Saccharomyces cerevisiae S288C: one gene and its partner. The protein of the gene in region 2 binds, or shares a complex with, the protein of the main gene of each other region. Each region holds a gene or a part of one and is shown on either strand. Other genes may lie near its edges.

The links. The genes of interacting proteins can lie anywhere in the genome.
Region 1: SPT14 (region 2) and GPI2 share a complex: the UniProt entries of both Saccharomyces cerevisiae proteins name them as parts of the phosphatidylinositol N-acetylglucosaminyltransferase (GPI-GlcNAc transferase) complex.

The regions. Positions count from the first base shown.
Region 1 is NC_001148.4:408,487-411,785, forward strand, and holds GPI2 (phosphatidylinositol N-acetylglucosaminyltransferase), read left to right. Parts: upstream 1-1,956; coding exon 1,957-2,799; downstream 2,800-3,299. Other genes in the region: ATP4 (F1F0 ATP synthase subunit 4), read right to left, coding at 1-258; YPL077C (uncharacterized protein), read right to left, coding at 882-1,604. UniProt on the Saccharomyces cerevisiae protein: Part of the complex catalyzing the transfer of N-acetylglucosamine from UDP-N-acetylglucosamine to phosphatidylinositol, the first step of GPI biosynthesis.
Region 2 is NC_001148.4:215,212-220,588, reverse strand, and holds SPT14 (phosphatidylinositol N-acetylglucosaminyltransferase SPT14), read right to left. Parts: upstream 1,960-5,377; coding exon 1,943-1,959; intron 1,843-1,942; coding exon 501-1,842; downstream 1-500. Other genes in the region: NIP100 (Nip100p), read left to right, coding at 1-422; TRE1 (Tre1p), read left to right, coding at 2,226-4,577. UniProt on the Saccharomyces cerevisiae protein: Catalytic subunit in the complex catalyzing the transfer of N-acetylglucosamine from UDP-N-acetylglucosamine to phosphatidylinositol, the first step of GPI biosynthesis.

The DNA of each region.
Region 1 (3,299 bases), 190 kb from region 2:
AACGTACAATTCATTGGAAATGGCATAAATGACAGCGGCAGCAGAAGTCCCCAAAACCCCCGTCTTTGTCAAAATATTATTACCTGGAATGGCATTGATGATAGAGTTAGCCTTTGCTTTTGGATCTGTCTGTTTTTCTGGAGTGGAAGACATATAACGGGCTCCAATCACCATCGAAGGACAACGAACACCTTGGCTAAATAATGTTTTAGAAACGGACCTTAACGCTAGGCCACGGACACCCATACTCATGCTCATTTTATCTCTTGCGCACTTAGGAGGTACTGAATTCTCGTCAGTCTTTTAATAAAATATAACCCTTCCTAGCACAGTATAAACTTGTCAACATAAACTGCTAACTGCAATTATAATCCCTTGCTATTTTAATTACCCAAACCTGTGGTGAAGGTCCGAATGAGCGGTGAAGAGAAAAAGCGTCGTGATTGGTTCAATATTGATGTCGATTACCCGGCCAATGAGGCTCGCTCGATGGGACACCTCTATGATAATAGTTGTCGCCACAGCCATTCTGAATTATATTTATCTTTTATCTACGTATGTGCCATTGTCACAGCACATTTCTAATTCTGTGTGAGGAACTAATTTAGCCATGGACAGTTTCTCATGCGTGGAAGACCTGTTATGCTGTATAGTACTGCGCCGCGTTAAAAAATATTCATGCTTGTAGAGTAGAATATTCCTATCTTTACCGGACCGTATTTCATCTGGGAGTTGCAGTTGCGTCACAACACAGTTTATGGCTATTTTATTTTGAAAATTAAGCATATATGACATAATTAGAGCACTCCTATGTGGGAATTCTTACACTTTTAATGTAGAATCTCTTGGTGATTGTTACTATCAGTTGTGTTTTGGCCCTACTATTGTAATTCCCTTATAGTGTTCACCAGCTCTTGAATGTACTTTCCTTCTTCAGGATCAACGGTTGGTCCATTTGGATTTCTAATTGCGCTGCTACTATGCATGTTGTTGCTTGTAGCTTCATCTCCGACGGATTTTCCTGTTGGTGATGGCGTTCTAGTCATCATGGCAGCAGCGGTTGCGACCGCCACTTCACGACGTTGTTCCTCTTCTATTTTAGCATTGCGGTCCCTCAAGACTTGAAGTAGTTTACTATGTGCTTGCCTTAATTGCATCAGTTTGTTCTCGAACCCTGGAGGAAACTGATCATACAATTCTGTTGCCTGCGCCTGTCTTTTAACGTCATCTAGGGCATCTATTTCTCTCCACAAATAGTCTTGTCTGTCGATTATAGGCCGTACTTCCAGTCTGTTATGTGTCTGTAGCGGTATATCTACGCTATTTCTCCGGAATTTGGCAACTCCGTTATAGCTAACACTATCGGTATCTATTGTGTCATTACCAACTGTGTTAGCACTTGAACGGTTATAATAGTTATTGAATAGACTCCTTGTCGAAGGAATTTGGGAAGAATAAGATGGCCTAAATCCTGAATTTCTAATATAGGGATTTACATTTGGTATTGTCCTGGGAAGGTCATGGATGCTGTCCTCCCCATACCGTTCATCGTCTTCATTCGTGATTTGCCTTCGTACTGAGCTTTTTTTCTGGAGATCTTTCATGAAGATAGTGAATTGTAAATTTTTGGTTAGGTTTTTCAAAAACAATGTCAATTACATGTCAGCGAAGGCCAGGTAGTAGGTGTCCGTGGCTATTGATTATCTTGATATCCGAACTTGAGACCACTTCGCGGCTACTAAATTTATGAACTAAAAATGAAAATTTCAACTTTCCATTACCTCTTCGCTTTAAACCAATTTAAAGGTACAATCACACTTTAAGTATTGTTGTTAGACGGTGGTGAATATAATCAGAGGCATCCAAACTTTCTGTTGCAGGTCCATTATCCTCTCAATTTTCGTATGACCTTAAAGAGACTTCATAGTTTATATTTGGTTATTTTCAATAGGTACAATGACAAGATCTCCCTGGAAGCGCCTACTATGGTTGAAACAGGAGTACCCAGATAATTATACAGATCCAAGTTTTATTGAGTTGAGAGCAAGACAAAAGGCTGAGAGTAACCAGAAGTCTGATAGAAAATTATCAGAAGCTGCTCGCGCTCAAATTAGGTTGGATTTTATAAGTTTCTACCAAACCATATTGAACACTTCTTTCATTTACATCACTTTTACATATATTTACTATTATGGCTTCGATCCTATTCCGCCAACTATTTTCCTTTCATTTATAACATTGATTATATCAAGGACGAAAGTCGACCCTCTATTGTCCTCATTCATGGACGTAAAGTCTTCGCTGATTATCACATTTGCAATGTTGACTCTCTCTCCAGTCCTCAAATCTCTTTCTAAAACAACTGCATCTGATTCCATATGGACATTGTCTTTTTGGCTGACCCTATGGTACATTTTCGTTATTTCGTCAACAAAGTCCAAAGATAAACCCTCTAACCTTTCCACCAATATACTTGTCGCCCTTGTTGCTGTCCTATCATCGAGGCTTTCGACCACAATCGACGTATTCTGTTTTCTTTTAATTTGTATTCAGTTGAATATCATTCTACCCACTTATTTATCGGTGACGAATAAGGTAGTACCAATAATTTCAAATATTATTGTATACTCATTTTTGAATGTTGCTCTAGGTTGGATTTATATGCTGTTGATTTTCTTTGCTTCAGTATTTTATATTACTGTTTTACCTAAGTGGTTCATCTACTGGAAAATCAATTATCATAAACGGGATAACGATCTACTAAGTACATGGGATGCAAGAACACCAATATTGGATTAGCGCAATCAAGAACATGATTTCCTTCGGATAAGCAAGGGAGGGGTACGACTTCTGCCCGCAGGGGCTTATTGCCTGTCCTCTTCCTCGACCCCACGGTATTTCATTATATATAGAGTCACTGTAATAATAATTATCATGAAACCTGACAAGCAAAGGCGTCGGGCAATTACCAAAGGGCAGTTCGGTCGATTAAGTTTGCTTCACTACAGATTATTCACATATCATACGACAACTTTAAAATTGAACATTCAGGAGATTTTTGAATGCATTGATGGGCCCTTGCACCTTAACCGGGTCCCAATATTAGAGAAACGCCCCCTTAAACTGAACACAAGACAATACTACCTGGCCAATAGGGTACAATTTGCGGCCGTGTTAAACAGGCGTTTCAGCGTCTACCGCTCCTAATTTAAAGTCACTTGTTTCTTGGTAGCAGCAGCTTCCTGTTTTCTTCTTTTTGGCACTTGGTTATGTGATAATATCACCCGGATGAGAAACCT
Region 2 (5,377 bases):
AGAATATGGAGCTCAAACTATATCAAATAAAGGATAATAATACGTTGAACAAAATTTATTTAGACAGAGAGAAAGTAGATAGAGTAAATTTAGTTTCGGAAATCATGGAATTGAGAGAAACCATAAGACGACAAATAAAAGAGCAGAAACGAGTGAGCATCGATTTCAGCTGGTTAGACGAGCTTCCAGCTGTGGAAAATAAGCAACCATTCAAAGAACATATCAACCACAGTTTGGACACCTTGGGGATAGAAATGTTCAACTTCGTGAGTACCTCACGGATTTTAGATTTAAAGCTTGATCAACCTTTGGCAGAAGATGAACTCTGGCATGAAAGAGATCATTCTTACATTTCGTATTTAAAGCGCAAGAGGAAAAATATACGACTCAAATCTCAAAATGTTGTTACATATTACAAATGACTGAGTGATTCTAGCAGGTCTATAACATTCAAATACAGTAAATAAATGGATACAACATTCCTTTGTTTTGTGTAAAGTTTAAGTTTCTCTTGCTTCCTTCGTCTCGTTAGACACTGTTTTCTTGGGCCATTTTGGAGCTAGATCGATTTCATCCCTGGGGTATAGCCACTCTAAGAGGAAAAAAAGCATGTACTCTACAATTCCACATAACAGATAAAGATGTTTAGCCCAGATTCCATCTCTTTTGTAAAGATTTGCTACCATTTTCATCCAATCTTTATCATCAGCGGAAGAAGTAGAAGATATATTAGTATATATCTCTACTGTCCTTTTGGCTACGTCCATCCAGTCGTACATTTTAGACACGCTATCATGAAAAGAGGAAGTGTCCAAAGCTTTACTTCTTATGATATTGATAGCTTTATTTGTTGCTTGAACAAGGTCAGAAACGGATGTCTGTTCTGCATAAACAGTCATCTCATTTGGTAACACTTCGGGAATTCCTCCGACTTGTGTCGTTACAATTAGCAAATTACAAGATGCGGCCTCAACTAGAATTGTACCAAATGCTTCTGTTAAACTAGCGTGTAAATATATGTCACCTTGACATAATACATCCCTGACTTTCTCATGTGGAACAGAGCCTAAGAGTTGCACACGTTTTTGTAGTCTATGACTTTCAATCATTTGTTGAAAATCTATGAACTTTGGACCATCGCCCGCTACTATAAATTCGACATCTTCATGTGAGGAACAAACTTTCGGAATTATGCGAGTAAGTAAATCGGACCCTTTGTTTGGAAAGAGCCTTCCGATGACCACGATCACTATCTTATCCCTACTTTGTTTTCTCTTGGTGCCACCAGTAGGATCCCTTGGTTTGAAATCTTCGCTCACCACTGCGTTGGGAATTACTGAGATTATATCAGGACTTAATTCTGTTCTAACAATCATATTTTCTTTGCATGTATTAGAAACACATATAACCCGATCTATGTTTGTCAAGGTAAATGTTAGCAACTTATTCACCCAAATCGACGTTAAGTTATTAAAACCGTAGAGTGAATGGTCCGTGAACACAGTTCTCAATCCCATAGTATTAGCATGAAGAATTCCCTCGTGAGCGAACGTGGAAGCGCTACCATGAGAATGAACAATTTGGATCTGCTCTCTGAGAAGAATATTCCTTATTATTGGAAATGTTGAAAAAACAGTGGGGAAAGTGGTTTCTCTGAAAATCACAAAAAATGGTACGTGATAGACCTTTAGACCGTTGGTAAGATGTCGTACGCCGACTCGATCTTTGTAAGCGTGAGTTATAATGACGACAGAATGGCCCAAATCGATTAGTTTCTGCGATAAATGATATATATGGAATTCGACTCCACCTAACTGTGGATAAAAAAAGTCGCACAGCATCCTATTTTCATTGTTATAACTCTCAACTTTACTGGTTAGTATCAACAACAAAAGAGATCTTCTTTAATGTATTTGGAACACATGCTGTGAGCTAGACATACGCTATATTGAAGCCCATTGTTTTATATAATAATGTTAGAGTTAGCTAAGCTGTAGTTTATAGTATCTCGTATTTTTGCATAAGTTTTTTGAGGCTATTACTGGCATCGATTATTTTTAAATCGTATCAATGAAATTTTCTAGCTCGACAGTCTCGGGTTGCAAACGAAAAACTTAAAATAGCAGAATGAGATTATTCAATGAAAAGACCCTGAGATTTTTTTCAAGCTGTTATTTTTGGTATACATTGTATTAGACAAGTTCGCATATGAGTATACAAAGGATATGGTGAATACTAGGGGCTACACTACTCTTCCGAATGTTGAAGAACCAGCAAATAACTCACAAGATGAGCTAAACTCGCAGGACTTTGAGCAAGCTATAGGAATGCCATCAGAACCCCCGGTATATGTGGAAGAGATGGGGATGGAAGAACCGCAGGCTCCGGAAGCCTTTAGTGAGAAAGTCCAGCGATTTCGTATGTGTTTTGAAAATAACGTGGTGATTCCAGTAAAGAAAAATGTAGTGGATCCGCTAGCACAAATGATTTCCCTGGCCTCTGAGAAATTCGATTTGTTCTTAAGTAAAATAGGTAATGTTATGGTAATGAGGAGAATATTTTACATCATGATGATGTCTATCATTGCAGCGTTGATTATTGCGAGTGATAGGTTACCGAATGGAAAAGCTCGAGGTTCAAATGGATCATTCTCGGACCATGATCTCCTTTTACAGTATGCTCGGAAATCGATAGACCTTTCAAAGATAGAAAGAGATTTAGAGTATATTAGTAGTATGCCCCACATGTCAGGAACAAGTGGTGATGCCGCTATTAGACATTATATTAAAGAGTCGTTCGACAAAAATGGTATAAGGCTAGCTGGGGAAGAGGAGTTCATGGCGTATTCGAATTACCCAGGAAATGTCTCACTTCGTGTATATTCAAAGGATGATACAGAAGGGTTTGATATTCCCTTAAATGAGGAGAACTTTAACCCAATGAGCCATAATGGTCAATTGAACAACATACCGGTGATTTATGCTAATAAAGCATCGTTGGACGATATGGCTTCTATGCAAGATCAAGGGCTTTTAAACGGTGACTTTATTTTACTAGTGCATTACGGAGATTATGTTTTCCAACAAATGTTGACTGCTCAAGAATATGGTGCGAAAGCAATTATCTTTATTTCTGAGCCTTATCAAGACAACAAAGACGTGATACAAATGAAGTCAGTTGCGTTGCCGCAGTATGGTACTGGTGATGCACTTACGCCTGAATGGGAAGGATCAATAAGAGATCCTATCGATGCTACGGAAGCCAAGTGCCTACCCAAAATTCCATCCATACCGATATCTGCCAATCAAGGAGATAAAATACTAGCTATATTATCAGACACTGGCGTAAAGTTTTCTAATAATTTATTCAGTGGGTCGCTTAACGATTGTCGACTTGACCTACTAGTGCAAACAGCAATTAGGGAACGCCACCCGGTTCACGATATAGTTGGTAAAATTGAAGGATCGGAACAAGCGGGCAGGGCAATTGTTATTGCTGCACCGAGGAACTCTGCTAGTTATGGCACTATGTATCCTTCTTTTGGAACCGTCGTTTTGCTGTCTCTGATCCAATTATATCAAGAAATGGTTTACAAATTTGACTGGAAGCCTCTAAGAAATATATATTTCATTTCCTTTGGGGGCTCTGAATTTAATGAAGCGGGAGCCACGGAGCTGATGGAAAAGAGAACAGAGGCATTGAAGAGTGAAATATACACCATTATCGACGTCGGCCAAATCGGTATATGGGATGATAGTAACAATTTAGAGATACAATGTCATCCGCTACTAGTAGATCTTTTTCAAAAAAACATGACAAGCCGTAAATTTAACGTTAAAGTGGATAATGTTCACCAGTTCGGCGACTGGACGCCGTATCTAGCGCAAGGGATTCCAGTTGCGATCATTTCATCTCCAGGAGTCATGAATAGAGAACATCCGATCTACACAGTAGAAGACAAATTCGATTTCATCAAAGATAAACTAAGAGACAAAAAGAAGGGAGAGGTACTTTCTGAGATAATGCTATATCTTGTCGAAAAATCACTCGAGCTCATTGACGATCCATTCATCCCATTCAGCATATCGAACTACGTAGATTTCCTTTCAACTACGTTAAAAGACCTCCAAAAAGAATGTCCTGATACGGTAAACTTTGACGAAGTCTTTTTGGGCACAACATTGTGGGAAAACACTAAACTGCAGTTCGAAAAATGGAAAAGCGAATGGACAGAGCTTATGTATGGAGCCGGTACATATATAGAACCCACTATCATTGCCATTAATCGTTGGTCATGGAACTACCTACTTTCCCTAATAGGCGTTACCCAATGTTTGGAGGAAGGGTTAATGGATAGAACCTTTTACAAGAACGTTATCTTCGGGCCAAAACTCTGGGTCGACAAAGGTGACCCACTTCGTTCATGGACGTTCCCTGAAATCAGGGACACTATTGCAATCAAGGACTGGAGCTCTGTGCAGGTTCAAGCTAACACACTCGGCACAATTTTACAAAATACAGCACGCTATTTTCTTGAGAATAAAAACCTTCATGGAATAAACACGAACGAATTTTAGTTATCGGTTGAAAGAAAATTACACATCGATTTATGCAGGCAATCAACTATAGTATACACAACATATACTCCTATGACTTGTAGATTTCTTGCCTAGGAAGACTAAATACGTTTAATTCTAAGATTAGGAGCCCATGCATTTAAAGTTGCTTTTTGCCTGTGCGGGACAATTTTATTAGTCAGTATGGACATCTCCGCGGGGAATTTTTTTATCGGCAGAGCTGTTTAGACAAAGGATATAGATAGTATAAGGTGTTAGTACACACATTTCAACATAGTTATATTAGGAAGATTGCCACAAATTTCCTCTTTTTTTTTTTTTTCTTGTTTTTATTACACCTCCGCCCCTTGAATACCTTAGAGGTTAAGAAGTGAAATGCCAAGAGAAAGCCTAATAGGACACACAGTATTTACCACGGGAAAAGCGCGGGATATTTGAATCAGCTGGAGATTATTATGTACGCCATGTATATTTTTAGAGACGGCTTGTAACGGGTGCCAAGATATTCCATATTTTTATGTCTCAAAAAGGAAGAAAAGAGCTACGAGCACGTGCAAATATATGAACTTCAACACCTGTAGAAACTCGATAGTGAATAAATCAATCACAGTGCTTTCCTTGAAATAAGCTTCTGTCTGAACTTTAACAGTGATTTTTTTTTTATAGAACAGGCCTTTTCATCTGCAGAGATATGTCTAGTCTCGTAGGTTTTGACTCGTAACTTTGACTTCTGCATCTGGATCGTCAAAGCAACCCATACTTGACTTGATTACATTAGCATCAAAGAAAATCGTGCCAAC